Linked DNA regions of Rattus norvegicus. The protein of the gene in region 1 purifies or fractionates together with the protein of each later gene. This does not show direct contact. Links are inferred from orthologs where the notes say so. Each region holds a gene or a part of one and is shown in the gene's direction. Other genes may lie near its edges. The genes, in order: Jun, Dhx9, Atf7, Cop1, Creb5 and Nfe2l2.

Evidence for each region.
Region 2: the proteins of Jun (region 1) and Dhx9 purify together in Homo sapiens (affinity purification with mass spectrometry; 3 studies listed by BioGRID and IntAct, with this or other methods). This does not show direct contact. The link is inferred for Rattus norvegicus from reciprocal best matches to the Homo sapiens genes JUN and DHX9.
Region 3: the proteins of Jun (region 1) and Atf7 purify together in Homo sapiens (affinity purification with mass spectrometry; 3 studies listed by BioGRID and IntAct, with this or other methods). This does not show direct contact. The link is inferred for Rattus norvegicus from reciprocal best matches to the Homo sapiens genes JUN and ATF7.
Region 4: the proteins of Jun (region 1) and Cop1 purify together in Homo sapiens (affinity purification with western blotting; 9 studies listed by BioGRID and IntAct, counting the BioPlex papers as one, with this or other methods). This does not show direct contact. The link is inferred for Rattus norvegicus from reciprocal best matches to the Homo sapiens genes JUN and COP1.
Region 5: the proteins of Jun (region 1) and Creb5 purify together in Homo sapiens (affinity purification with mass spectrometry; 5 studies listed by BioGRID and IntAct, counting the BioPlex papers as one, with this or other methods). This does not show direct contact. The link is inferred for Rattus norvegicus from reciprocal best matches to the Homo sapiens genes JUN and CREB5.
Region 6: the proteins of Jun (region 1) and Nfe2l2 purify together in Homo sapiens (affinity purification with western blotting; 4 studies listed by BioGRID and IntAct, with this or other methods). This does not show direct contact. The link is inferred for Rattus norvegicus from reciprocal best matches to the Homo sapiens genes JUN and NFE2L2.

What each region holds. Positions count from the first base shown.
Region 1 is NC_086023.1:115,009,482-115,014,680, reverse strand, and holds Jun (transcription factor Jun), read left to right. Parts: upstream 1-1,687; 5' UTR 1,688-2,545; coding exon 2,546-3,550; 3' UTR 3,551-4,781; downstream 4,782-5,199. UniProt on the Homo sapiens protein: Transcription factor that recognizes and binds to the AP-1 consensus motif 5'-TGA[GC]TCA-3'.
Region 2 is NC_086031.1:68,168,433-68,173,098, reverse strand, and holds part of Dhx9 (ATP-dependent RNA helicase A), read left to right. Parts: intron 1-339; coding exon 340-429; intron 430-521; coding exon 522-683; intron 684-784; coding exon 785-862; intron 863-1,287; coding exon 1,288-1,479; intron 1,480-3,478; coding exon 3,479-3,620; intron 3,621-4,021; coding exon 4,022-4,104; intron 4,105-4,666. UniProt on the Homo sapiens protein: Multifunctional ATP-dependent nucleic acid helicase that unwinds DNA and RNA in a 3' to 5' direction and that plays important roles in many processes, such as DNA replication, transcriptional activation, post-transcriptional RNA regulation, mRNA translation and RNA-mediated gene silencing.
Region 3 is NC_086025.1:135,545,550-135,550,215, reverse strand, and holds part of Atf7 (cyclic AMP-dependent transcription factor ATF-7), read left to right. Parts: coding exon 1-30; intron 31-3,218; coding exon 3,219-3,327; intron 3,328-4,666. UniProt on the Homo sapiens protein: Stress-responsive chromatin regulator that plays a role in various biological processes including innate immunological memory, adipocyte differentiation or telomerase regulation.
Region 4 is NC_086031.1:74,065,965-74,070,630, forward strand, and holds part of Cop1 (E3 ubiquitin-protein ligase COP1), read left to right. Parts: intron 1-1,859; coding exon 1,860-1,977; intron 1,978-4,008; coding exon 4,009-4,133; intron 4,134-4,666. UniProt on the Homo sapiens protein: E3 ubiquitin-protein ligase that mediates ubiquitination and subsequent proteasomal degradation of target proteins.
Region 5 is NC_086022.1:83,722,299-83,727,485, forward strand, and holds the start of Creb5 (cyclic AMP-responsive element-binding protein 5), read left to right. Parts: upstream 1-1,926; 5' UTR 1,927-1,985; intron 1,986-2,042; exon of another isoform or gene 2,043-2,141; 5' UTR 2,142-2,180; coding exon 2,181-2,342; exon of another isoform or gene 2,343-5,127; coding exon of another isoform or gene 5,128-5,130; intron 5,131-5,187. UniProt on the Homo sapiens protein: Binds to the cAMP response element and activates transcription.
Region 6 is NC_086021.1:81,000,422-81,005,558, reverse strand, and holds the end of Nfe2l2 (nuclear factor erythroid 2-related factor 2), read left to right. Parts: intron 1-278; coding exon 279-545; intron 546-1,174; coding exon 1,175-1,264; intron 1,265-1,826; coding exon 1,827-2,015; intron 2,016-2,356; coding exon 2,357-3,580; 3' UTR 3,581-4,030; downstream 4,031-5,137.

The sequences.
Region 1 (5,199 bases):
AAGTCCAACTTTAAACCTCAAGTCCTAGGCTGAAGGGCGGCTTAGGGAACAGCTGGTTCCCGGTCCTTTCCTACCTCGCTTAGGAAAATACACTGGCTCCTGCCAAATCACAACCCAGTATCCTCCAAATCGTCCCACCCTCACCCCACCCCACCGAAGGCCTGGGGTAACTCCGAAGCTGGTAGGGAAAGGGGCACCAATTGACCACCTTCTAGTCTCAGAGTCAAGACTAATGCCTAGCAGCCCGATGTAGTGGATGGACCTCATCCACTCTACTTCTAGATGAGACCAATAAAGTTCAGAAAGTTCTGAGATTTGCACTTTTGCCCTGGGAGAACCAAGCTCGCCACCTCTTTAGTCAGTCTTAAGGGGTAGAGGGTGGAGGGCGGATAGCAGAACCTTAGAAAAGAAACAACTTACATGTGTCTAGCGCTTCCTAGAGGCCGCACAGGATATGAATCCACCATCGAGCGGGGAGGGGATTTTTCAGTCTTTCTACCAGGGACTCCTGCTTAAGCACCGTGACTCGGGGCGAGTCCGCAGCTCTCAAGGCTTGTTTTCCCAGAAGCAAATCAGGGAGGGAGGAAGGGCGGGCGCGAACTGAGTGTGCGCGGGGCTGTGTGTATGTGCTAGTGCAGGCGAGCGCTGGGGTTTCCTGAGTTTCGAACCTTTATATGTTGCTTTCCATACCCCAAGGAGCCGGGGTGGCATCTTTCACACCTAGAAGGGGGTCCCTCCGAGGTAAAGCGAACCCCTCCCGGCACGTCCCCAGAAAATGAAGTGTTGTGCCGGGGACCCTGGTGAATTCATTCCGAGCACAGCAAATCTCTGGTTTCCAGCACAGCACACTGCGGCGCAGATCCTTCTCCGAAACTAAACTTCCATGCGCACTCGGCGTGGGAGGGCCACTCTCAAACCCGCTCAACTTCAACCCACTTGCCGCTCCCGCACCCGGGGCGAACACAACCATATTAACCCGCGTCGCTCTGTCTCCCGGAAGTGCGGGGGTGCGGAGCCAGCTTCAATCGCCCAGATCATTCAGCCCTTTCACGGGTGTGTTCGTGTGTTCGTGTGTGTGTGTGTGTGTGTGTGTGTGTGTGTGTGTGTGTGTGTGTGTGTGTGTGTAACCTCTACTCCCACCCAAGCCCTCCGCCCCAGGCCACCAGCGCGTCTCCCCAGCTTTCTGGATCCCCGCGTCTCGGTCTGGGTCCCCAGCCCTGAACTTGAGCCCGCCTCCGACAGACTCCGCAAGGGTCCAGCGGACCCGGCAGCCTCCGTCACTAGACAGCCAAACCAAGACGTCAGCCCACAATGCACCGGGCGGGCCGGGAAAGACGCGCCGGGGAGGGAACCCGGGAACACAAGCCGGAGCAACGCGCGGGAGGGGGAGGGAGGTGGAGAAAGAAGGGCCCAACTGTAGGAGCGCAGCGGAGCATTACCTCATCCCGTGAGCCTTCGCGGGCCCAGAGAAGAATCTTCTAGGGTGAGGTCTCCATGGCGACGGGTGGGCCCGCCCCCTTGAGAGCGACGCAAGCCAATGGGAAGGCCTTGGGGTGACATCATGGGCTATTTTTAGGGATTGACTGGTAGCAGATAAGTGTTGAGCTCAGGCTGGATAAGGACTCAGAGTTGCACTGAGTGTGGCAGAGACTGCCTAGCTGGAGAGCGCTCAGGCAGACAGACAGACGGACGGACTCGGCTAACCTGGTCGTCCGCGGACTCCGGGCTGTTCATCTGTTTGTCTTCATTTTCTGACCAACTGCCTGGATCCAGCGCCCGCAGCTCCTGCACCGGTGTTTTGGGGAGCACTTGGAGAGTCCCTTCTCCCGCTTTTCCCGGAGAAGAAGCTCACAAGTCCCGGCACTGCTGACAGCATCGAGAACGGCTCCGGACCGCGCGAGGAAATAGGCGAGCGGCTACCGGCCAGCAACTTTCCTGACCCAGAGGACCGGGAACAAGTGGCCCGGAGCGAACTTTTGCAAAACCTCTTCTGCGCCTAAGGCTGCCACCGAGACCGTAAAGAAAAGGGAGAAGAGGAACCTATACTCATACCAGCTCGCACAGGCGGCTGAAGTTGGGCGAGTGCTAGCCGCGGCTGCCTAGCGTCCCCCTCCCCCTCACAGCGGAGGAGGGGACAGTTGTCGGAGGCCGGGCGGCAGAGCCCGATCGCGGGCTTCCACCAAGAATTCCGTGACGACTGGTCTGCGCCGCCGGAGAACCTCTGTCGCTGGGGCTGGTCCGCGGGCTCCGAGGAACCGCTGCTTCCCGAGAGCGCTCCGTGAGTGACCGCGACTTTTCAAAGCTCCGGATCGCGCGGGAGCCAACCAACGTGAGTGCAAGCGGTGTCTTAACCCTGCGCTCCCTGGAGCGAACTGGGGAGGAGGGCGCAGGGGGGAGCACTGCGGTCTGGAGCGCACGCTCCTAAACAAACTTTGTTACTGAAGCGGGGACGCGCGGGTATCCCCCGCTTCCCGGCGCGCTGTTGCGGCCCCGAAACTTCTGCGCACAGCCCAGGCTAACCCCGCGTGAAGTGACCGACTGTTCTATGACTGCAAAGATGGAAACGACCTTCTACGACGATGCCCTCAACGCCTCGTTCCTCCAGTCCGAGAGTGGCGCCTACGGCTACAGTAACCCTAAGATTCTGAAGCAGAGCATGACCTTGAACCTGGCCGACCCGGTGGGCAATCTGAAGCCGCACCTCCGAGCCAAGAACTCGGACCTTCTCACGTCGCCCGACGTCGGGCTGCTCAAGCTGGCGTCGCCGGAGCTGGAGCGCCTGATCATCCAGTCCAGCAATGGGCACATCACCACTACACCGACCCCCACTCAGTTCTTGTGCCCCAAGAACGTGACCGACGAGCAGGAGGGCTTCGCCGAAGGCTTCGTGCGCGCCCTAGCTGAACTGCATAGCCAGAATACGCTGCCCAGTGTCACCTCCGCGGCACAACCTGTCAGTGGGGCGGGCATGGTCGCTCCCGCTGTGGCCTCAGTAGCTGGCGCTGGCGGCGGCGGCGGCTACAGCGCCAGCCTGCACAGTGAGCCTCCGGTCTACGCCAACCTCAGCAACTTCAACCCGGGTGCGCTGAGCAGCGGCGGTGGGGCGCCCTCCTATGGCGCGACCGGGCTGGCCTTTCCATCGCAGCCCCAGCAGCAGCAGCAGCCGCCTCAGCCGCCGCACCACTTGCCCCAACAGATCCCGGTGCAGCACCCGCGGCTGCAGGCGCTGAAGGAAGAGCCGCAGACGGTGCCGGAGATGCCGGGAGAGACGCCGCCCTTGTCCCCCATCGACATGGAGTCTCAGGAGCGGATCAAGGCGGAGAGGAAGCGCATGAGGAACCGCATCGCTGCCTCCAAGTGCCGGAAAAGGAAGCTGGAGCGGATCGCCCGGCTAGAGGAAAAAGTGAAAACCTTGAAAGCGCAAAACTCCGAGCTGGCGTCCACGGCCAACATGCTCAGGGAACAGGTGGCACAGCTTAAACAGAAAGTCATGAACCACGTTAACAGTGGGTGCCAACTCATGCTAACGCAGCAGTTGCAAACGTTTTGAGGACAGACTGTCAGGGCTGAGGGGCAGTGGAAGAAAAAAATAACAGAGATAAACTTGAGAACTTGACTGGTTGCGACAGAGAAAAAAAAGTGTCCGAGTACTGAAGCCAAGGGTACACAAGATGGACTGGGTTGCGACCTGACGGCGCCCCCAGTGTGCTGGAGTGGGAAGGACGTGGCGCGCCTGGCTTTGGCGAGGAGCCAGAGAGCAGCGGCCTGTTGGCCGCCACGCTTTGCGAACGGGCTGTGCCCGCGCGACCAGAACGATGGACTTTTCGTTAACATTGACCAAGAACTGCATGGACCTAACATTCGATCTCATTCAGTATTAAGGGGGGTGGGTGGGGGCTTACAAACTGCAATAGAGACTGTAGATTGCTTCTGTAGTGCTCCGTAAGAACACAAAGCAGGGAGGGCTGGGAAGGGGAGGGAGGCTTGTGAGTACCAGGCTAGATTGCGGATGAACTCCCCTGGCCTGCCTCTCTCAACTATGTATGTACATATATTTTTTTTTAATTTGATGAAAGCTGATTACTGTCTATAATAAACAGCTTCCTGCCTTTGTAAGTTATTCCATGTTTGTTTGTTTGGGTGTCCTACCCAGTGTTTGTAAATAAGAGATTTGAAGCATTCTGAGTTTACCATTTGTAATAAAGTATATAATTTTTTTATGTTTTGTTTCTGAAAATTTTCAGAAAGGATATTTAAGAAAACACAATAAACCATTGAGAAGTAGCCCCCAACCTCTCTGCTGCATTATCGATAGATAATGAGAGCTAGGTGAAATGACAGCTGAGTGTCTGTATGCTGGGGTGAGAGCCTGTAGTCCCTCCCGTCTGGTTGTAGGAATAGACACCCTGCATGCTATCATTGGCTCATACTCTCTCTCTCCCCAGCAACCCACAAGTCCAGACTGTTGACCAGAAGATGGTGCAGTGTTTCTTAAGGCTGGAAGAAGAGGGTGTTGCAAGGGGAGAGGGACAGCCCACTGGGAAAGCAGACGCTTGAGTTGAGAGCCATATCAAGTAGCATGCGCTGTGATCGTTTATAATAATAATAAAGACTTCAGCAATTAGATGTTTATCTCAAAGCAGGGACCCATGGAAGGTTTTACAAAAGGTGTCTCCTTCCAACTTGGATTCTGACGACTCCTAGAAAAAGATGACCTTTGCTTGTGCATATTTATAATAGTTCGTATCACAATAAATGTATTCAAATAATGGTTTTAAAAATCTTGAATTCCTTTTCCGTTGCTAATCTTTGTTTCCTAAGCCGCACACTGAAGATTTTCCAAGTTTCTGGGGGAATTAGTGCATTCTACACTTTGCAATTTAGAAGCCAAGCATTTAGGAAGAGTCAAAGGAGGATCTGGAACCTGGGTGACTCTTCTCCCAACCCTCTCCCAATTCCCACTTGGCACCCTCCCCATCCCCCCACCTCTCGCTCCTACCAAGGAAGTGACCAGTGTAGTGAGTCCTTATTTAATTTTTAATTTGTTTCAAAATAATCAATCTGGCTTAATTATTGAGGTAGTCTGGGAAGTTCCTAGTATATATACTATGGAGCGGAGTCACAAGAGAAATGACTATATAGCACATCTGTGATCCAAACCTCAGCTCCGGGGAGACAGAAAACCTGAATCGTGTCTCA
Region 2 (4,666 bases), on another chromosome or scaffold:
GGTATAACCATAGTATTTAGATGAGGGGCATTATAGTGGGGATAAAGATTAGGGCTTTTAAATGCCAGACAAACAATGTTTTACTTCTGAGCTATATTCTAAGCTCAATACTTAGTAATGAAGAAATTAAAATAATTATACTAATCAATACTTTATGAAGAACTTATGTTTATAGGGGCCATTGAGTGAGTCATTGGTGAAATTCTGACTTAGAGAGTTGTTGGTTTCTGGCAATCAATAATAGCCCTAATGTCAGCTATATGTTAGTTTAGGTGAAATTAGTAGTTTTAAATTATATTCATGGGTATATTCATGATTTTCTTTGCTCCTTCTTTGTAGGTGGAGCCTTACAAAGTTTTCCTTTCCCCAGATTTGGAGCTTCAGTTGCAAAATGTGGTTCAAGAGCTAGATCTGGAAATTGTTCCCCCAGTAAGCATGTAGCTTTGCAGTTTACCTTGTTTTTAAAGTCTTTCCTTAGGATCATGTCTTTTTATTTATTTTTGCTTTTTATTTTTAAATAGCCTGTTGATCCTTCTATGCCAGTTATACTCAACATTGGGAAATTGGCTCATTTTGAACCATCTCAGAGGCAAAATGCAGTGGGAGTGGTTCCTTGGTCACCCCCACAGTCCAACTGGAATCCTTGGACAAGTAGCAACATTGATGAGGGGCCCCTTGCTTATGTAAGTACAATATGGGTTCTAAGATTAGTTCTATATTTTCCTTTGTATCTTTTTTTAGGTCAGAAGTGAATAGATTTTGTTTGAATGCTTTCTTTTTACAGGCTTCTACAGAACAAATAAGCATGGACCTTAAGAATGAATTAGCATACCAGATGGAACAGGATCATAATTTACAGAGTGTGAGTGTTGAAGATCTCTTACATATATTGTCTAGAGCTTAAATACATTGTTAGGTTGAATGGCAGGTTTTTATAATTGTTAATTATAGCTAACTATGATAGTGGCTATTAAATCAGGACCCCTGAATGATTGATAGTACTGTTATACAATATTAAATATATACTTTGAATATTTTATAGCAAATGTAAAGTGATAACATTTTTTGCAAGTAATTATAATACATTTTATTTTTTTGGAGACCTAAAATTTAAGGAGAAATTGAGGTATTAAGACCACAAGCTATATTCTTAAGAACATTGTAGTGGGAATAGATTTTATTAGATAAAAATGTTTTCATTCTTTGAAATATTTCAAGTCCTAAACCAGTTAGAAAGCAGTACTTTTTTATGGAAATGATTTAAATGACTTATCTTTGTTGAACCAGGTGTTACAAGAGAGAGAGTTGCTTCCTGTGAAGAAATTTGAAGCTGAAATTCTGGAAGCCATTAGTCAAAATTCAGTTGTGATTATCCGAGGGGCTACTGGTTGTGGTAAAACCACGCAAGTTCCACAATACATTTTGGATGACTTCATCCAGAATGACAGAGCAGCTGAGTGCAATATTGTTGTGACTCAGGTAAGTCATTGTATGAGTTTGTCTTGGGGTTTATAGAGTTCTGGCAATTGTTTGAGATGTAGCCAAGTAAGCTTTCAAGAGTGTTAAACAGAAACACTGTTTTGCCTGAGTGTAGGTCTTTGTCTTTGGAGCTAGTATACTTAACTACTGAGCCCTAATTAGTTTGGTGTGTGTATGTGGTACCAGCATACATGCCAGCAAAATTCCATACATTTTAAATGAAATTTATCTTATTTTTAACTATGTGCCTCTCGGTGTGAGCATGCCAAGTATCTGTGAAGGGGCCTCACAGGTGTTGTGTTTTATAAAATGAAACCAGGGATATGTTTTGAAGGTGTAAGGTGTGGGTGAAAGGGGCGAGTTTGCAGGCCTATGTTGAGGCATCCCTTCCTCCTGAGGGACATAACAGTATAGTATAGAATTTATTTAAGGCATGAGGAGGGGAGTTGAGAGGTTAGTAGAGACAGAAAGGCAGAGAGAGAGAGAGAGAAAGTAGAGGAGTAGGGGCTGGCCCTGAGCTCTGGGCGGGAAATAGGGGGTGTGAGGAGAGTGGGGAGTAAGGGAAGGAAGCAAGAGAGTCAGAGCAGTGTAGGGATTCTTATTCAAGTAAGAGGATAATGAACCTTATTTTGTGTGCATTTACAAAGGGTATTTCTACATTAGTAGTATACATCATTGCTTTAATTGCTTTATTTTTAAAGTGCACAAATTTGTATTTAGCGGGAAACTTGTATGTAGGGCAGTGTTACTCTGCATTTAAGTATGAATGCAGCTTTAAGGTGTATTGTTAACTTAAAAGTGATAGCATGGAAAGAAAGCTATCTTTTCTTTATTTATTTTAGTCATATGAGTACACTATAGCTGTTTTCAGACACACGAGAAGAGAGCATTAAATACAATTACAGATGATTGCGAGCCACCATGTGGTTGCTGGGAATTGAACTCAGGACCTCTAGAAAAACCATCTCTCCAACCCAGAAAGCTATCATCTTAGTTAAGCCATTAAAACGGAATGTGGAAATTGGTTAGCAACATATGAGTTCATCCTAGGCTTAGACTATGTGGGTTTGCAGAAAGAACATTAGATAGCCAGACATGTTTTGCGTGTGTTAGCAAAAGTTAAGTCCAAGGATGAGAAAGAACAATTAATTTATAGTAAGATCACTGAATAACACTTTTCTGTATCAACACAGGAAGCAGAGTACATTAAGAAACTTATTAGATATTATGTACAAGGTTGACATCCTTGAGCATGCTTATTTATAGATCACTATTTATAAACACATTAAAAATGTTGGGCCAGAACATCTTAGGGGAAGGAATTGACTGTGAGAACTGTTATGATCGGAGTTTTAAATAGATTGTTAGAGGGGCTGATCAATCTTGTCTATGTAGTTATATTTTTAGCAGCATAATTTAAAGTCTCTTAACATTCTCAAGGTACATGTGGTTAAACCTATCATTTTGTTGACAACTAACTTTTTCAAAGATTTGTGTATGTGAGTCCTTGAAGAAGTAAAGTGAACCAATCATCTTTTGGTTCAAACTCGCTCTAAGTACAGCCATTTGTAAGAAAGAGTTCTTTGTAGGTTTGTGCCATTCCTCTTAATCATTTTTTTTTTTTTTCCTTTTCTGGAGCTGAGGACCGAACCCAGAGCCTTGCGATTGCTAGGCAAGTGCTCTACCACTGAGCTAAATCCCCAACCCCGCAATTGCTTACTCTTAAAATAAAGTGGTTATGTGTTTATATAGTTATATCTTCATTTATTAAAATTAAAATTTCAAACTTGATGAAAATCGTTTCTATCATTTCACTGTTCCTAAGCTACATGAAACCTGACTATATAATCAGACCCTTTTAGAAAACTGCTGTGTTCAGTTTGGTGATACAGCATTTGCCTAGCATGTTATGTAGGTTTTATCACCCATATCACATAGACACTATTAAACAAATAAAACTAATTTTGTAATTTCATACCATATTTGTGTTCTGTTTTAGCCCAGAAGGATCAGTGCAGTTGCGGTGGCTGAGCGAGTTGCTTATGAGAGAGGAGAAGAACCTGGAAAAAGCTGTGGCTACAGTGTCCGGTTTGAGTCTATACTTCCACGCCCTCATGCCAGTATAATGTTTTGTACTGTAGGTCAGTGGTGTATTTTCATTTGTAGTTTGTCAACTTTTTATAAAGAAAACAAAAAACTGTTGGTTGGTATTCATTTCAATTCAAGAGCTCTGGAAGTAGAGACAGGTTCAAGGCCAGCCTGATGTACAGTGTGGGTTCCTGAACAATCATAGCTATACAGAGAAACTGTCTCAAAAATAAACAAAACCCATGATATTTCTACTTGCATATTATCCAAGTAAGCCCTTTCCTGTACAATGCAAGGATTGTGTGAAAACAGAGTTAGTGTTTGCTTCATTGGCTGCTTTGAGATGACCACGAGGGCAAGAGCCACCAACCTGCAGCTAAATTTTTGGTTTGTTGCTTCTTTGATTCTGTAACAAAACTCTTATAATTGTTTTTTGTTTTTTTATTTTCCCAAGGTGTGCTACTAAGAAAACTAGAAGCAGGCATTCGAGGAATCAGTCATGTTATTGTAGATGAAATTCATGAAAGAGATATTAATGTAAGTAATCTCTGCATGACTTTTTCCCCTTTAACAGGAGAAATCAAATCCTTGCTTGCTTTTTTTTTTTTCCCCCAAGCTGGGGACTGAACCCAGGGCCTTGCGCTTGCTAGGCAAGCACTCTACCACTGAGCTAAATCCCTAACCCCAAATCCTTGCTTTCTTACTCTACTGGTAAATGCTAACTTAGAGAACCATCGTTTAATAGCTGAGTTAGTAATGATTTATGACTTGAGTAGCTGGAGGGATTTTAGTTTTTCTTTGTGATAACTTCTGTGATTTTTAGTATATGTGCTGCCGAAGCGAGCACAAATTCTGTGATTTTTAGCAAAATGGTGGTGGTTATTGATAGCTCATTTCAGATGCTAGTGATAATCATGGAAAACAAAATTATAATTGTTTACCATTCTTACTCTTGATTAGTAAACCAATATACAATTCTGGCATTCAAAGTTTGACAGTGTAAAACTTTATCTTTTTCATTTGCATTTTCAGTTGGGTATTTTTCTATGTATACCAGGTTGGTCTTAAACTCAGATATCCAACTGCCTCTGCCTCTGCC
Region 3 (4,666 bases), on another chromosome or scaffold:
GAACTTACTTCTCAGAACATTCAGCTGAGTGTGAGTGGGACTGGGTGACTGTTGGGATTGTGGAGTGTGGTGAGCAAGGCTGAACCTTAACAGTGCAGCAACAGAACAGAGGATGGGCACTCTTTAATTAGGTAAGACCCAGAAGTGTAAAGCATCCCATAATAGTCAGAACTGAAACCTCTCCCCTAGCAATTGAGAAGGAGACTATCTCCTCCCAGATCTGCCACTAGCACAAGACCCATTTGGGATTTGAGGATGTAACTCAGACAGAATGCTACCAGTTGGAAGATTGGAGAAAAGGCGAGAGTAGAGGCATAGACCCATCTGGATGAAGCAAATCAGGTTAAGAACCCCAGGGTATGCTCTGTCAAATCATCCACAGAATCTGACAGGAATTAGAGAACACCTAATGAAAAATGTGTTTACTTGGGCTAGAGAGATGGCTCAGCGGTTAAGAGTACTAAATGTTCTTCCAGAGGGCCTGGGTTCAGTTCCCAGCACCCACATGGCAGCTCACAACTGTCTGTAACTCCAAAATCTGACACCTCACACAGACATACATGAAGGCAAAACACCAATGAACATAAAATACAAAATTAAATTTAAAAAATTTACTCTAGCTATTGTACGTGTCTTAGTTAGGGTTTCTATTGCTGTTAACAGAAGAGACAATATGACCACAGCAACACTTTTTTTGCCTTTTGGTTTTTGAAACAGGGTTTCATTGTATAGCCCTGGCTGCCCTGGAATTTATTCTGTAGACAAGATTGGCCTTGAACTTACAGAGACCTGCCTACCTCTGCCCTCTAAGTGCTGGGATTAAGACTATAGCAACTTGGGGGTTTGGGATTTAGCTCAGTGGTAGAGCGCTTGCCTAGGAAGCGCAAGGCCCTGGGTTTGGTCCCCAGCTCCGAAAAAAAGAACCAAAAAAAAAAAAAAAAAAAAGACTATAGCAACTTTTATAAAGAAAAACATTTAACTAGGGCTAGCTTACAGGTTTCAGAGGTTTAGTCCATTATCATCATGGTGGAAAATAAGGACGCACACAGGCAGATTCTGGAGAAGGAACTGAGAGTTCTGCATCTGGATAGGCAGGCAGCAGAAGAAGACTGTGAGCCACCAGACCTGGCTTGAGCTTCTGAAACCTCAAAACCTGCCCTCAGGGACACACTTCCTCCAACAAAGCCATTCCTACTCTAACAAGGCCACACCTTTTAATAGTGCCCTATGAGCCTATGGAGGCCATTTTTATTCAAACACCAAAGTAGGTTAAAGAAAGAAAAAAGGGAGAGAAAAAAAAAACCATAAGCACAAACAGAACAATTAAAATCCATGCGTTCTTTCTTGTGAATATTATTTTCCCTTACTCTGTTTTGTCTTGGAAGTATTTATGTGTCAGTAAGAAGATTCAGTAGGTAAAGTCACCTGCCATCAAGCCTGACAACCTGAGTTCTACCCTTGGAATCCACAAGGTGGAAGGAGAGAAGTTGTCCTTTGACCTCTAAACATGCACAGTGTGGCATGTATGTCCCACCCACGTACATACATATGCACATGATATATAATATACACACAATAAATAAAGTATATTTTAAAAGGGATCAGCACTGATGGCTCAGTGGCAAAATGCTTACCACTAAAACTGATGACCTGAATTTAATTTTCAGATCCCACAACTTGTCCTTTGATTTATACACACACACACACACACACACACACACACACACACACACACACACACACACACACACTGTGATATGCACATGTGCACACACACAAAATAAATTTGTTTTTTTCAATTTTTGACAATTTCATACCTGTATATAGTATATCTTGTTCACATTCATGGCAACTTCACTTTTCTAATTATTAAATATTTCATTACAAAGGTACTAGATGAATAAATTTCTTTCCTCTCAAACTCACATATAGGGTGAGAACAAAGTTCCTTAATTTACCTTCCCAGTAACAGTCCCATTACCTTCCCAGTAACAGTCCATTACCTTCCCAGTAACAGTCCCATTACGGGGTGGGGGATTTAGCTCAGTGGTAGAGCGCTTAAGGCCCTGGGTTCGGTCCCCAGCTCCGAAAAAAAAGAAAAGAAAAGAAAAGAAAAAAAAAAAAACAGTCCCAACACCTTCCCAGGAACAGTCCCATCACTTTCCCAGGAACAGTCCCATCACCTTCCCAGTAACAGTCCATAATCTTCCCTGTAGATAAATGGGGTACAAACCGCCAGACTCATATTTCTGAATAGTTTTTATTTCTAGTTTTTGTGTTAGAATTGGAGGGATTGAGTTGGCTTAAACATGAATGATTTAACAGTATCTCATGGAAGCCTAATGAAGGAGATGAAGGATCTACCTTGTTCTTTTAAACTACTGTATATTTCTACGTTCTGAGTGTGTTAGGTTCTTTAGATCAGTGGACACTAACACTGTTGTAATTGTTCATTAGAACAGTAGTGCTGTAGAAGACATTGCACACACTTGATTAAGTGGTTCTATTAAAAAAGATTTCTGAGACCAAGCTTGGTAATTCAAAAAAAAAAAGAAAAAAAAGCATAGTGTTTCAGTCCTATGATCCCAGCACTTGGGAGGCAAAGGCTCTCTGTGAGTTCCTGGTCTATGACGGGAACTCCAGGTCAGCCAGGGTTATAGAGCGAGACATTGTCAAAAGAAATGAACAACAAAAACAGATTTCTAGAAGCACACTTTCTTCTTAGTCAGAGGCCCTCACATTGTTAGTTTCAGAATAATCAGATTTATCCCAGGTAACAGTCATTTCTCTTTTCGTGTTATAAGTCTGTACTTTTCACTGTAGGCAGTTTCTGTCATTGACTTCATGACTGTCCTGGCCCTAAGAAGACTTGCCAGATCATGTCCTAATTTGGGGAGGAAAATCTAGACAGCATTCTGTCTGTGCTCAACATTAGGACAATTCTAAAGTTAATATTACAATAAATGGTTTGCTATAGATAGCAGAAAAAATTCTAATAAGTTTGATATAACCAACAGCCATTAGTAGTCCAAGAATAAAAGATGAGTTTTTGGTTTTGGTTTTTCAAGACAAGGGTTTATTTCTCTCTGTAACAGCCCTAGTTGTCCTGGAACTTGGTTTGTGGACCAGTTAGAATTAAAGGCATGCACCACCACACCCCAATTGCTTTTTTATTTTAGTGAATTTTCCTAATACTCTTTACTTCTCTCTCTCTTTAGAATGAAGTCACATTACTACGCAATGAGGTGGCTCAGTTGAAACAGCTACTGTTAGCTCATAAAGACTGCCCAGTCACTGCACTACAGAAAAAGACTCAAGGCTACCTAGGTGAGTGATTCATAACCTAAGCAAAATCAGTCAGTTGGTAAATCACAGGTACTGAGTATCTTAGCTTAAAATATATATGTATATATATATTTTTTTTTTAAATCTGTAATCCTAGTAAGCAAGAGGATCAGTAGTTCAAGGTCTTCAATTATAGCCAAAGTTTGAGGCAAGCCTGAGCTGCATGAAACTTTCTTTCAAATAAAAAAATAAAGCTTTGACAGTAGTGCAGAGTTACCTATAACCACTGGAGAGAAGGAGTAGCATGCAGTATTTCTTGAATGTTTTATTTAAGTGCTATACTGTTTTCACAGTTCCCCCATGAAGTAGCCATTCCATCTATAAGTGAGAAAACTACTCAGATTAGATCACTTATCCAAGTCAAACAGTAGGAAAGTGGGGTTGGGGATTTAGCTCAGTGGTAGAGCGCTTGCCTAGGAAGCGCAAGGCCCTGGGTTCGGTCCCCAGCTCCGGAAAAAAAAAAAAAAAAAAAAAAAACAGTAGGAAAGTGGTAGAGGTCTTTTAATCCCAAAGACTGTCTTGGCCTAGAGAGCAGATGAACAGCAGCAAATGATGCTGCTTAGAAACTGAAAAGTTGGGACTTGAGGGAAGATTTCATCTTTCCAATGATAGCCCAGTCTTGGTTTCAATTTGTAATTAGAGATTTCTACAAAATTGTGCTCAGCATTAATAGTGTTACAAAATATATATGACAATGAAAAATTTGTTATAGATAATTAAAACTAATAATTGCTAGTTTTCCTTTACATATTAAATAAATACATAGAAATACTGAATATAGCAAATAATTTTTTCACTAGTTGCCTTTATCATTTCAGAGATGTAAAATATTTCTCAGAGATTCTGAGAAAAAAATTAAGAATCTTTATTAAATTATTTATTTAAATGTTAATGTGTACTTCCAGGTGTGTTGATTTGTTAAGTAAGTACTGACCGAATTGTTGTTCTGTGCCAGGCACATCCTGGGTGTCACAGGAACCAAACAAGTTAGGTTAGATCTGCGTCCCTGAAGATCTTGTATTTTAGTTTGTAAGACAGATTTTTTAAAAAGGCGAGATATGTGGTTTGTGGTAAATGTAAAAAAAGAAGATGATGCAGCTGGGGTATGGAGAGATTGCTCAGGGGATCAGGGCATTTACTGCTCTTGCAGAAGACCTGCATTCAGTTTCCAGCACCCATAACTATCTATAACTGCAGTTCTAGGTGTCTGAGATCCTCTTCTGGCCATCTCAGGCACCAAGCATGTACATGGTTCATGGATGTACGTGTGGCTCTGGCTGCCCTGGAACTCTATATGTAGATCAGGCTGGCCTTGGCTCAT
Region 4 (4,666 bases), on another chromosome or scaffold:
ACTGAGACTTTTTTCACTGCCTATCATATTACCTGTATTGGAAACTCCTCCATGTATTATTGAAAAGAACTAATATTTTCTAGCATTGGAGGGCACATACTATAAATGAATCTTTAGTTTCACTTGGTCCAGAGTATAGCTTATTTCTCTTGTTTATCGGTTTTCTGTCCAGACAGTCTGTATATTAGTGGCAGCGGCTTTTAAATTCCTCTGTTACTAAACTGAAATCTCTCCTCAGGCCTATTAATATTTTTCATATTTATTTCTATGCTCAAATATTGAGTGCTTTCATGCTAAGAGTTATTCCTCTTTCTCTAATTTAGCCCCTTTATATTGTGACCCACCTTGCCCATTTTGATAATATGATTTTAAGTCTCTTATGTAAGTACTAAATTACTGTTTAGTTTCTTTTTGAAAATTCCATTTGCATGGGATATCTTTAATTTTCTATAGTTTAAGTTAGGATTAGCTTTAAGGGTATAAAAACCCTCATTCCAATAGATAGAATGTATTTATGTCTTTAAGTATTATTGTTAATTTGATTGTTTTGTTCTTTAATTGCCTGCTCACAGCTATTTAAGACCCTCTCTCTGAATATTCATACCTACCAACCCTTTGTCATCTCTCTTTGACAACTTATATTCATTTTGGTTAGATGATCATTCCTTGAATGGTTTTGGTGTATATTCACACCCAATAGTGTCTTTGCATGAAAGGATTAAAGATTTATCATCTGGCATTGTATTTATCCTTCCAGATATTTTAAATAAGGTATTATTTTTTTCTGAGTGCTATTTAAATACTATACAGATTCCCCCAAAATAGAGATTTCCACCCCCAACCTGTATATATACTATTCAAGAGTTAGGGTACCTGGAAAGTGTGGTTCATCACTCTTGGAAGCCTCTTGGAAGACACTGATTTTTTTCCCTCTACGATGATCATGGACAAACTAGACCCCATGTTCCTATATAGCAATTTGACTATTACTTCCTTTCATCTCTAGTGATAATGGCTTTGTCCATATTCTGCAAGCCATTGGGTTCAGTGACAGACATCTTTGTCTGAGTCATCCTTAGAGCACACAATCTGTTAAAACCGGCACAACACAGAGACTAGACATAGGACCATGGTGATGTGGCCTGTTTGCTGCTCTGATATTGGTATACTCGGAGCCTTAGACACCTAAGCCAGCTTCGCGTGATGCTGGCCAGAATACAAATTCTTTTTACTCTAGCCACAGCTTTCTTCGCCCCCTAGCACCAAGGTGAGTTCAGAATGTAGTTTTCTCCATGATAAAAAAGCTCTTAGGATCTAACTGACCCTGGGTTTCAATGGCCTGTTGATGTGGTTTTCTTTAGCATCAGGGCACTGCTTAGCATTGTGCTACCCAGGTTCAGGGGAGAGGTGGTAGAGGCAGCTCACTGATACCAGAGCAGTTTCACCCATAGCTTTATTGCGTGAGCATTGGCTTGGGGGGTGAACTTGAGGCTATGTAAGATGGTGGATCGCATCTTCATGTACTGTACTGGTACTAGGCTCTAAGCTTTACGCCTGCAGCTAGTTCTTCTTTCTTCTCTCTACCCTTAGTGGTTTCTCTTACTCCTTTCTGTTGTTGTCTTTGTATTTTAAATGTACTTGCTTCTCTTGGATTAAAGCAAGATACTGTGATCTCTCCTGGATTCCTTTCCTCTTCTGAGGGTAGTTTTTATAAACAATGCTTCCAAATAATGTTTCTTTGTGAAGATAATCTCCCTTATTCAGCCAACCCCATTGCTCTGGTGAAAATACCTAATCTAGTTAAAATGTTTTATCTCCCTTTTTTCATGCGCTCCATTTATCTTTTAATTTTATTTTAGATCACTGTGTCCACTACTACGATCTTCGTAACACTAAACAGCCAATAATGGTGTTCAAGGGGCACCGAAAAGCAGTGTCTTATGCCAAGTTTGTGAGTGGTGAAGAAATTGTCTCTGCGTGAGTATTCTCCTTGGAGGGCGAGCGTGATGCAGAGGTTTGCTCATTGATGCTGTAGTTTATGCAGAGAAGTTCCCCAGATTACTTTCTCAGATAGCAATAGATTTGCGTGGTTTCTATTGAAGTACATGTATCTTATTTGCTTTGTTCATTTTTATATTATTTGTGAATAAAATAAAGTATTACTCTTTGTTAAGCTCTCTTAAGTTATGTGTGTAATTTAATTAACATTTGAACCTCAAATTTTATTTTTGTTATTACCTGTGAAGAATTAACCAACATGTTTGGTGCAATAGAAAGAAAAATAATTTATTTGGTTAAAGTCAACTATATGTTACTACATAAATGTACTTTCAATGTAGTAGAATGATTGTTGATTTTAAATGACTTCTTGCTTTTTATAATAACCTAAACCAGTTTCTAAGTAAAATCTATATTAAAGAGATCTTTTTAAGTGTGTCTGCTTACATCCAGCAAATGTCCCTTGTAAAACCTTTTAGTTCCTTTTTTTTTTTTTAAGTATTAAATGTCAGTGATGTAAAGTAACCTATTGTCAAACTACAGAACTTTTCTGACAATATGGGAAGCTCCATATTTTGGTTATCCATCTCATAATCTAGTAAAACAATATGTAATTTCACTCTACAGTGAAATTCTTTATTTTTTTCCTTGCCTCTTTATCTCCCGTAGACGATTGTTTATCCCAGTGCCTTGAATTCTGCTTTCTACTTTCACCCTCACACCAGTTGCTCTAAGAATTTGGTGATTTGGCAAGACAAAAGAGGACACAAAATACTCATAACAGCTTTCCAAGGAAGTTATGCAGATAATTAATTAATAAGCTTAAATTAAATGGTAGCTAAAGTATATTTTCTCTTTAGATAACTGTAATAGGCAGAAAATAACCTAAAAATGATGCACATTTTAAGTGGAAACATAAAAGAACATTTATTGCAACACTGGAATGAAGCAGATTAAAGCACATTTCTCTTAATTTTTTTCTTAAAGATTTATTTATCGACTTTATGCATATGACTATGCTGTCTTCACACCAGAAGAGGGCATCAGGTTCCATTACAGATGGCTGTGAGTCACCATGTGGTTGTTGGGAATTGAACTCAGGACCTGCTCTTTAACCTCTGATGTCCAGCCCCTAAAACACATTTCTAAAAGACCTGACATGCTTAAATCAAACAGTTTGGATCTTGGTAGTATTCAGTTATAAACTTCTGAACCTCAGTTTTCTCATCTCCAAAATGGGGCTAATCATAGCACTAAGGTTTTTAGCCTTTAACGTAATAAAGTAGGTAAAATGTGTATCATAATTTCCTGCTCAGTGACGATCAGTTTAATTAAAAAAACTGAATTATGTAGTCCCTCCCTTAACAAAAGTATAAGCAAGCAATTCAGTATAGGAAAGCAGTTTGCAAAATAGTACCAGTCCTAAAATTACCTTTGTCTATTAGAATCACCAGTGTTTTTTATGCAAAAAAATAAAAAGTTGTTTTGGGTAAGCAACTATATATATATATATATATATATATATATATATATATATATATATATTTACAGCAAAATAAACTGCATCGTGTAGTTTCCAACAATACCTCTCACCTGTAGGGGAGAAATAATTTATGTCTAGTATACCAGTAAGAGTTGAAAGATAAATCACAATGAGAAGATTGAGGGTCTCCCTGAAATGAAACACATCTCTCAGGGCAAAGTCTCATTATTTATTGGTGGTGGGACAGTGGTATTGATGACATTGATGATTGCTTTCTGTATACCCAGGCCCTATTGAAAGCATGTTAAACGAGTTCGGTTTTCACAGTGTTGAGCTCATTTAATTATGTAGATAATGCCATACCATATTTCACTGTTAACAATGGAGCCAATGAGGGCAAGACTTAGATATGTAGGTACCACAGACTACATATTGAACCTCAAAACTAGATTGCTTTTTTTAGTTACTAGTGGTGATAGTTTCATACCATGAAATCTAAACTTTACTCCTCTTTGTGTTTATCTCAGCTCAACAGACAGCCAACTAAAACTGTGGAATGTGGGGAAACCATACTGTCTACGTTCCTTCAAGGGTCATATTAATGAAAAAAACTTTGTAGGCCTTGCTTCCAATGGAGATTATATAGCTTGTGGTAAGTGAACTTGTACTTTTAAACAAACTTTGTGAAGACATGTCATGGCAGTTTTCAGTGCAGTCATCATAGCCTTGATGTCTAGGACTGCATTCTTTTCTTCTCCAGTCATGCTGGGAGCACTAGTTTTCCTTCTATGTATGAGCCATGTATCCATAGTATAGTATTGCCAAGGATTTTTCACTGCTCTCTTGTCATTCTAAATATGCCACAATTTCGGTAGGTATGTTAGAAACTATAGAAACTATAATAATTTCTGCTAGTAGTATTTTAAGAAGACATCTTTCAGATGCTTGATTCTCATTTTACCCTATCTAGTATTATTTTGATTTAGTAATCTGTTTGGGTTGCATGAATCTAATTTATGAGTTCTTATATATAGAATTTGTGCAAATTTAAATCAGAAATGGAAAAATGCAATTTGCTGTTATTCAACTGTTCTGATAGAGTAAATGAACTTTTGTCAACACTTTTAAATGATGTTGCCTTTATTCTTATTCTGTAAATCGTATTTTCTCCAATGTTTGATCTTG
Region 5 (5,187 bases), on another chromosome or scaffold:
ATGTCAAAACCAGCTCGGAAATGTGACAGTTTGGGCAAAGCATTACGATTCCTAGCCAGTCTAGTCACGATCCTCTGGCAGACTGCACAGTCACGGCTGTGATGCATGGGGGTGAGAGGCACTATATAAATGTCAGATGTTACATAAATGTCAGGAACCGTTATTGTTTGTTAATGGGGGCTAAACTGTTCCTAAGCAAAGATCCAACTTCCAGCTAGCAAGTTCTTAGTTCTAACCAGTCAGCCACCAGAAGAGAATTAACATCCTTGACTCTACCAAGGAACCCAGGTGGGCACTGGGGTTAGACATGAGCTACAGTGTTCTCCCTGCTGATCTCGAGAGCGCCTAGCCTTCTGGCGTCTGCCTCAGCTCAGCTGTGAAACAGGGTAATTACAACACTGTCCCCACTTTTCCTCATCGTGCCAAGGTCTTATGAGGAAGAAGAAAACGGTGTGACTTCAAGTGTTTAGCAAAGTGTGAGTTGTTGCAGGATGACAGTGGTCATTTTGAACAGGCTTTCAATGTTCCCCAAAGGGAGCTTCCAACCCAAAAACCTAGCCCTTGGTAGGAGTGAGGAAGGTGAGAGCAGTGGCGTCTGGCCCATGCTGAAAAAGGTCAGTCCTTCTTTCCCCGCTGCAGACCTGGCCCTATATCCCATATTCTAGCCCTGGCTGCTTCCCAGCCGGTGAGCTTGGGCCAGTAGCAGAGGCTCTAGAAGCAATGGCCAGGGCCCTTCCGGCGCTGACGCGGAGTCTAAATCCGGCTCATCCTTTGGCTCTTGGCTGAGATTCACCTTTCCCCTTTAGAAAGATTCTTTCACAGGTCTGCACACGCACGGTGCGGGACTAGGGAAGACTGTGTGCTGTGTGCTGTGTGTAGTCCTACTCAGTGTACACAAGAAGTTATGTCCTTGAGAGTGATGAGGAGAGGGGCGGCGAAATGTAGACGTAATGCTGAGAAGCCAGCACGCAGAGAACACTGCAATGAGGTCATGGCTGTCGCAGGCAACGGATCTGGGTATCTTCGGGGGCTGATGTAGGGAAGTAGGCAGAGTCCTGCATTTGTAAGTGCAAAGGTCTCCCTTTACCTCCTTCAACGTCCTAACCACCTCTCTTGCTCACACCCCAAACCTTACTTCTTTCTGACCCTACAGGCACTCCTTGCAGGAGCGCTCGTGCCCCTGTCTCCTGCATGGTTCTGTTTGAAACCTTCAGGATTGTTTCCAAGCTGACTCACACCACTAATGTCGGGGGAGCCGTGTTACTCGGCGCTGGGCTGTGCAAGCTGTTGCTTGCGCGATCGCGGGCGCCGCTGCCGCAAGCACCCGGGTCCGCTCGAGGGGCGGGGTCTGGGCGGGGCGGAGACGGGCACGCCCCCTCGGCCTGCGGGCCCCGCCCCTCTCTCCCTCCTTCCCCAACGGACCGCAATGATTTAGAAGTTCAGGAATCCCACGTGACGTCACCGGGGGGGTGATGTAATGCACTCTAAATAGAATGTATTGTAATCTTTGCTCAGTCCAACGTGGTCCCTTCACCCGGGCTCGGCTCTTGCCTTCTCCACACTTGTTTGGTAAGTTCCTAAAAATACGGCGCGGCTACTTCTGGGGCTTTTGCATTTAGCCACTTTCGCTGCACTTGCCGCGCCAGCCGACTCGGAAGCGTCCTTGTTTGCAGGGGTTGGTTCATCGCTGCAGCCGCGAGGTTACTTGGTCCAATGGGCAGGTCACAGGGCAAGGAGTAGAAAGGATGCGATGCATTTTTTTTTCTTGATTTGTGTTTATAAACACTTTGGCGGATCAGAGGGAAGCCCGGCCCCAATTGCTGGTGGACTGTGGAGTTGTGCTGTGTCCTGTAGTCACCCAGAGACCCCACGCCGTGTCCGTCCCGGAGCGCGTCTCGGTGGTTGCTGCGCCGTGCGATTGGAGGGATGCTGAGTGGAGCCAGCGCCGTGTCCGACCCAGTGTGCGTGCGTGTTTGGGAGCGCGCGTGAGTTTCCCTGACACGGGGAACAGTCATGAATCGGGGGTGTATGTTTGCCTCCAGAGCCCATGGCAAGGTGCGGAACCCTCCAGAAGTGTGGTCAAGCGGCGGTGGTGGTGGCGGCGGCGGCGGAGGCGGCAGTGGTAGCAGCAGCAGCAACAGAGACCAGGAACCAGGAGCCTCCTCACATCCCGTTTCTCAATGATGCAGCGGAACCCCGGGAGAAAGTTTGCAAACTTCCACCATTTCGGCCAAGACGCCTGGTCACCTAGGGGCGGCCGGGCGAGTTTGCAGGGGGCTCTCTCTCCCACCGGTGCCCAGCGGCCGCTGCCATCTCTCGAGACCCGCTACCGGCTGCAGCTGGTGGGCGCGCGCCCCGGGAGGGACAGCTGCCCTTGGAGGGGACTTGACTTTCGCTCCAGGCGCTCCAGCTTGAGAGTGCTCCAGAGCCCTCGCCTTCACTCCTGAGCCGCCTTCCGCCTCCGTCCCCTTTGCGCTGGCACTCTTACTTCTTCCGGGCTGCCGCCCCAAATGACAGCTGGGGCCCGAGCCGCACTGCACCCAGGCGGTTCTCAGTACCGGGCGACAGAGCCTGCCTTTGAGCCAGCTTCTCCATCAACCGCTTAAACTTTTCACAAAGTTCTTAAAGGGTTGAGACAGACACCGCCCCCACTCCGCCACTTTAGAGGGACCATAGCCCGCTTTAGTTTTTCATTTATTTATTAGTTAGAGATTTACTTCCAGAGGGGTGTCTAGTAGAAAAAGCCCCAACTTTCCCTGAACGAGTGCCGTCCCCACTTGATGCTGGTTCAAAGCTGGGAACTGGAGCGGGCTGCTTGTACATCGTTGTCAGTGACTGCAAAGCTTGTTTGGTTTTTTATTTTTCCCTCTTCCTGACATGTGTCAAAGAATAAAGGCTGGCTACAGGTCCATTACGTCATTCTGCAGGCTAGTAAGTGTTTGATTAAGGGCTTCAGATATTCAAGGGTTCTGGGGCTCAGAATGCTGACAAAGCAACTCTGCTCCCCTCCTCCCCGGAGCAATTGCGGGTTCCCTGGACACAGCTATTGCCCTCTCTTTCCCGACCCCTCCTCCTCCATCCTTCTCCCGCCCACCTCGTTATCACTTGGCCTGCCCCCCGCCGTTTACAGTTTTCCCCTAGGGGGAATGCTGTCCCAGGAGTGAGCTGAAGAGCTTCTGGTGCCTGAGCGAGCTCAGTACCTGATGAGCGCTCAATCCGCTCCTTCCTATTATTTAAGAAAGGGACTATCCGGGCCCTCTTTTCCCACGCGAGAATGCTCAGTCTGGATAGAAAACCCCTAGAAAGGTTTAGAAGCCTTATACGCTAATAGCGTGTGCCTGCCGTGACTTAGGAAAGCAATATGCCCACAGTTAAGAGCCCAGAGCCCGATGAGTTGATGAACTCCGTAGTCCTGGGAGAGGGATGAAGGACTTGACTAAGTCAGGTTTAGCGGAAAGGATCTATATTAGACATTTAATTTCCAGAGTCAGGGACGCGTCTGATAACTGAAAGTACCTTATAACACCTTACTGCTACGCGCAGTAGTTTCTTATTCTTGCGTTTCTATGTTTGCAGAGGAAGTTAAACGCCCAATTTACAGAACTGAGTTCTTCCCCACTTGCTCTTTAAAAGAACACTAGTAGCAAAAACACCACTATATGCGACTTGATTAGGGGACAAAGTGTGAAAACTTTTGGGGTGAGTGAATAATGATAGCTGAAATCAAGTGAAAACAAACACAGGCAGAAGCTTTTGACTGGAGAATAAGGTGTTTGAAGGCTCTTTGATTTGGGCACGGAGGAGGCTAAGTAAAGGAAATTTTATATTCTAAATAGGCAGCATTCTTGAAGAACACGTGTTTGGTTATAATTAGATCTACTTTCTCCAACATACTCTGGCCCTAGAGCAGGCTTTGTGGAGCTTGTGACTGGAGATTGCTTGACACCCCTTCCTCAAGTTTGTGGCAGTATTATTTACTGGCATCTAGCGATGAAATGGTATAGTCCCCCTATGCGAAGCACAGGCATTGAAAATGTTAAAATTCTTGTTTGTGATGCAGAAACCTAAAGGGAAAATGGCCAGGTCACCAGGCCCTGGAGAGTGTGATTAATGATCAGTGATTTAGTGATCAGTGATTAGTGGTTTTATTCAAACTGTTACCTCTGACCAGAAGCACACATCAGAGGATTAACAGGCTCTTTAGATAAATGCTCATTAGTGGAAGGGGAAAAGCAAAGATAATAGGCGTGCACCCAGGGACAACTTTCGAAGACAATCATTCCTGTCTTCACAATAATAAGCTCTATTAACAGAAAGCCCTTTTAATTTAAAACTTGCTTTTATCTTGTAAATCAAAGTTAGATGTAAAAGTTTGTAGTGCCATTATAACCTAGATTTTCCCATATCCAGGAGATGTGGATTATCCCAGTAGCGATATTTTTTTTATTTAAACAAACAATTGGAGCTTTAGAGTGACTGGACCCTGACAAGCTTAGCTCCCAGGGCTGGAAGGTGTCCCCCCTTCAGGCTTGGAGACTGCGCTTTGCTAACTAGATGGCGCACTGTTATTTGGTGTCCTGTGCTGCAGAGCACATGGGCAGAAGCTGAGCATGTAGCTGCTTGCGAGGGAGGTTGTTCTTCAGCACAACAAAGTTCATTCTGTGTAGGATTGGAGGCTAGACGGTTCTACAAGTTTTTAGTCACATTTTCCGTGTCAGTTAAATCTAGGGAGTTGAAGGCTACTGGAAAAATTAGTCTCATTACTAACAGTAACTTAAAGAAGGAGGGAGGGGAAAAGGTACCAGAGTCTATGAGATAGGTCTGAGTTGCAGAGGGAGGGGAGAAGGTACCAGAGTCTATGAGATAGGTCTGAGTTGCAGAGGGAGGGGAGAAGGTACCAGAGTCTATGAGGTAGGTCTGAGTTGCAGAGTGACTGCTAGGTGCCAGGCCTCCTCTCTCTTTAGCTCAGAGCTGGTCCACAGTCTTCTGGCCTGAAAGACTGAGCCAAGTACTCAAAGACGTGTTTCCTTTCTGATCTTGCTGGTTAAAAGAAGTTACAAGAGAGGAGGGCAATTTCTGATCTGGAGACGGCAGGAGGCAACACGGTGCGGTTTTACACTCCCAGCTATGGTAAGAGCATGCTCATGTTTGTGAAGCAGAGACAGCCCTCACATCAGTCCAGGTCAG
Region 6 (5,137 bases), on another chromosome or scaffold:
AAAAGGAGAGAGACGTGGAATTCTTAAAAGCATAAGTTTGGCTATTTCTATTGTTTTGCAGTCATTAGTGATCCAAACTGATTGGAATGGGTAGCTATATATATGCTGTTGCTTTAGCAAGTATGTGTTGAGTGAATGGACTAACAGTCTTCTAGCTTCCTCCATCTGTACTCGTTCAGTTAGTTTGTATCTCCCCCATCCGTGATGGCATGTAGTGAATGAACCCATGTGGACCACCTTAACCGTAGTTTCTCCTTCCTTTTCTGTTTTAAACATAGGACATGGATTTGATTGACATCCTTTGGAGGCAAGACATAGATCTTGGGGTAAGTCGAGAAGTGTTTGACTTTAGTCAGCGACAGAAGGATTATGAGCTGGAAAAACAGAAAAAACTCGAAAAGGAGAGACAAGAGCAACTCCAGAAGGAACAGGAGAAGGCCTTTTTCGCTCAGTTACAACTGGATGAAGAGACCGGAGAATTCCTCCCAATTCAGCCAGCCCAGCACATCCAGACAGACACCAGTGGATCTGTCAGCTACTCCCAGGTACACTTGGTTCTGGTGGGGTCTGAGGAAAACTCGACTGAGAAAGCAGACCATCGGATTTGAGCTCTTGGTCTGCCATTTGTGAGGATATTAAGTTCCCAAGCTTAGCTTCCCGATGAATTGAGTACCTGAGCTCCTTTGAGAATTCTTTCGATGATCAGGATACAATACAGATCATGGGGCATACTTTGTGAGTTACAGAATCATCCTCTTGGGAGGGAGGAGACCATGGCAGACGTTCTGTTGGTAGGAGGAGTGGGCATTGTTCACTGCTGTGGCAGGCGTGACCTGAATTGTATGAGTAACTGATGTAGCTGTGTCAAGTACAATTCCCATGCTATATGTTGATAAACAACTAAAGCTCACAAGGGTTAAATCATTTGCCTAGATCACTCAAAAATGAAGGGAGTTTATTGCCTAGCACAGAGCCCTGGGTTCGGTCCCCTAGCACAGTTTATTAAAGGGACTAATGATTTGAACACAAGTGATCTGGTTTGAATCTGTAAAACAAATTGATTTCTGAAATGAGTTCATAGGTTATTTTATGAACAGCTCTTAATGCTAGTCATGACCCCTGGGTTTAGAACATTTAACAAATGATGTTCCTTTGTGCCTTTCCCTTACTCCAGGTTGCCCACATTCCCAAACAAGATGCCTTGTACTTTGAAGACTGTATGCAGCTTTTGGCAGAGACATTCCCATTTGTAGATGACCATGAGGTATAAAAATGTTTGCTTAATAGCAAAACTGTCTTTTCTGGAATTAGTCCCTTTCATGTGTATCCAATTGAGAGAATAAAAGAAAATTTTAGAAGGAAAAAGTTGATCAAAGAAATTATCAAATAAACTGTATCAGATATCTATAAAACATTTAAAAATAAGACCTGCTAAATACTAAACGACAAGTCCATTTTACTGGATAGCTAGAAACATGAATCAGAATAATTTAACTGGAAAAATGGATATAGGTATATAAAATATTTTGTCTAGTAAAGAGCAACTATTAATCCGTACTTGGATTAAAAATCTTAATCTGTTGTTTGAAGCACTTTGCTAAATATTATGGGTACAAATTAAGTCGTAAGGAATGTTTTTATCCATTTTGAAGTCTACCTTTAAGCACATGGAGTGATATAATAGTGGATAAATGTGGAGACATTGGGGGGGAAGAAATGTTTCATTTTATAAAAGCAACCATTAGTAACCTGAGAGCTGCAGCCCCTGCCGCTGTCTGTTCTACAGGTCTTTGCTCTCACTCATGTAAATACCTTGTCAATCTTAGGTTTCTTCACCTACATTTCAGTCGCTTGCCCTGGATATTCCCAGCCACGTTGAGAGCTCAGTCTTCACCACCCCTGATCAGGCTCAGTCACTCGATAGCTCTCTGGAGACGGCCATGACTGATTTAAGCAGCATACAGCAGGACATGGAGCAAGTTTGGCAGGAGCTATTTTCCATTCCCGAGTTACAGGTGAGAGAGCTCGATGAGTGTGCTGTCCTCTATGGGCCTTTTAAATTAGTCATCCTGGTTATTTATTATTGACATGCTACCTACTCAAAGGAAGAAACTGATGGTGCATTTATATTACTTAGGAGAGCTTCCCAAACTCACTTAACACACAGAGTTTTTAATTAATCAGACTGAATATTTCAGGACAAATTCACTCTAAGACTGAAAGCTAATTTAGAGTTCTGACAACCATAAAATACTTATCTGTTGAAAATGGGAGTTATCGGGATTATTGAAAAGAAGACCTTGGATTTGGGAGTGGGGAACTGATCTAAAGCATTCAATGTGACCTTCTTTTCTAGTGTCTTAATACGGAAAACAAGCAGCAGGCTGAGACTACCACTGTCCCCAGCCCAGAGGCCACACTGACAGAGATGGACAGCAATTACCATTTTTACTCATCGATCCCCTCACTGGAAAAAGAAGTGGACAGCTGTAGTCCACATTTCCTTCATGGTTTTGAGGATTCTTTTAGTAGCATCCTCTCCACGGATGATGCCAGCCAGCTGAACTCCTTAGACTCAAATCCCACCTTGAACACAGATTTCGGTGATGAATTTTACTCTGCTTTCCTAGCAGAGCCCAGTGGCGGTGGCAGCATGCCTTCCTCTGCTGCCATTAGTCAGTCGCTCTCTGAACTTCTGGGCGGGCCCATTGAGGGCTGTGATCTGTCCCTGTGTAAAGCTTTCAACCAGAAGCACACTGAAGGCACGGTGGAGTTCAATGACTCTGACTCCGGCATTTCGCTGAACACAAGTCCCAGCCGAGCATCCCCAGAGCACTCTGTGGAGTCTTCCATTTACGGAGACCCACCGCCTGGGTTCAGTGACTCGGAAATGGAAGAGCTAGACAGTGCCCCTGGAAGTGTCAAACAGAATGGACCTAAAGCACAGCCAACACATTCTTCTGGGGATACAGTACAGCCTCTGTCGCCAGCTCAAGGGCACAGTGCTGCTGTGCACGAATCCCAGTGTGAAAATACAACAAAAAAAGAAGTACCTGTGAGTCCTGGTCATCAAAAAGTCCCATTCACAAAAGACAAACATTCAAGCCGATTAGAGGCTCATCTCACAAGAGATGAGCTTAGGGCAAAAGCTCTCCATATTCCATTCCCTGTTGAAAAAATCATTAATCTCCCTGTTGATGACTTCAATGAAATGATGTCCAAGGAGCAATTCAACGAAGCTCAGCTTGCATTAATTCGAGATATACGCAGGAGAGGGAAGAATAAAGTTGCCGCTCAGAACTGTAGGAAAAGGAAGCTGGAAAACATTGTAGAGCTGGAGCAAGACTTGGGCCACTTAAAAGACGAGAGAGAAAAACTACTCAGAGAAAAGGGAGAAAACGACAGAAACCTCCATCTTCTGAAAAGAAAACTCAGCACTTTGTATCTGGAAGTCTTCAGCATGTTACGTGATGAGGATGGGAAACCTTACTCTCCCAGTGAGTACTCTCTGCAGCAGACCAGAGATGGCAACGTGTTCCTTGTTCCCAAGAGCAAGAAGCCAGATACAAAGAAAAACTAGGTTCGGGAGGATGGAGCCTTTTCTGAGCTAGTGTTTGTTTTGTACGGCTAAAACTTCCTACTGTGATGTGAAATGCAGAAACACTTTATAAGTAACTATGCAGAATTATAGCCAAAGCTAGTGTAGAAATAATATGAAACTTTACAAAGCATTAAAGTCTCAATGTTGAATCAGTTTCATTTTAACTCTCAAGTTAATTTCTTGGGCACCATTTGGGCTAGTTTCTGTGTAAGTGTAAATACTACAGAACTTATTTATACTGTTCTCATTTGTTACAGTCATAGACTTATATGACATCTGGCTAAAAGCAAACTATTGAAAACTAACCAAACCACTATACTTTTTTATATACTGTATGAACAAGAAATGACATTTTTATATTAAATTGTTTAGCTCTGATAAAAATTAAAAGGAGCTAGCACTAATAAAGGAATATCATGACTTAAATTACTCTGGATTGTTTGAGTTAATTCCCAGTAGTGTTTTCCATAGGACAGTTATCCACCTACCACATTTGCTTATTTTACATTTTCAGAATGGTTTTGAAAATACACAAGCGGGTTGGGGATTTAACTCAGTGGTAGAGCGCTTGCCTAGCAAACACAAGGCCCTGGGTTCAGTCCCCAGCTCCCCTCCCCCCCCCCAAAAAAAAAGAAAGAAAAAAGAAAAAGGAAAATACACAAGCACTTTATACCCATGTATGGCAGTAGATGCTTTTTATTCTCAACATTCAGGAGGCAGAAGCAGGCAGATCTCTGTGCTCCAAGACAGCCAAGGCTACATAATGAGAGCCTGTCTCAAAAAAGACCAAAACCCTTTTCATACTAAATGTTCCTAGGATTGTCGTACCAAGGAAATGGTACATGTCACAACGAAAATGTTTATTCACAATGTTATGCCTGCTGTGCAGTACTGTGGCACAAAGAACAAAACCAATAATCTCCCTGTGCTCTCTGAAGCGGCATTCTCTAAGAGGGCTAGGAAGGAAAAAGAAAGCTGGGCATAATGCTTCCACCTTCAATAGCTGAACTCTAGACAAGGCTGGCTTTGAACTCTGCCGCAGAGACTGGCAAATCTGTGAGTTTGTGCCCAGCCTGGTCTACAAAGAGTTCCAGGACAGCCAAAGCTATGTAGAAAGAGACCCTGTGTCAAAAATCCAAACAAATGTAAAAAGCATCACAACTTCCAGGAGCTTGCAACATCTGAAGGCAGAGGTCAGACCGCTCTCAGAGCATCGCATGCTAACAGCAACTCCACAGACCACGGCTGAGCAGAAGGCACAGTGGCTGGAAGTGGTGGGAAGAAGAGCTGTAAGCAGCATAGAAGGAGTGGGCAGTTCTAGAGAGGAGGAGCTAAGGCTGAGGTGGGATATGAGACTTACCCTCTGGTTCTGAAGCTGAGCAGTGTAGGTGGTGAGGGGTGGGACGAGAGAGGCCAGTTATGTGGTGTACGTATATATATTCTCTTCCCAACCCACTCTCTTGGTTTCAAGGCAGGTTTTCTCTCTAGCCCTGGCTGTCCTAGAAATCACCCAGAAGACTGGCGTAAGATCTGCCT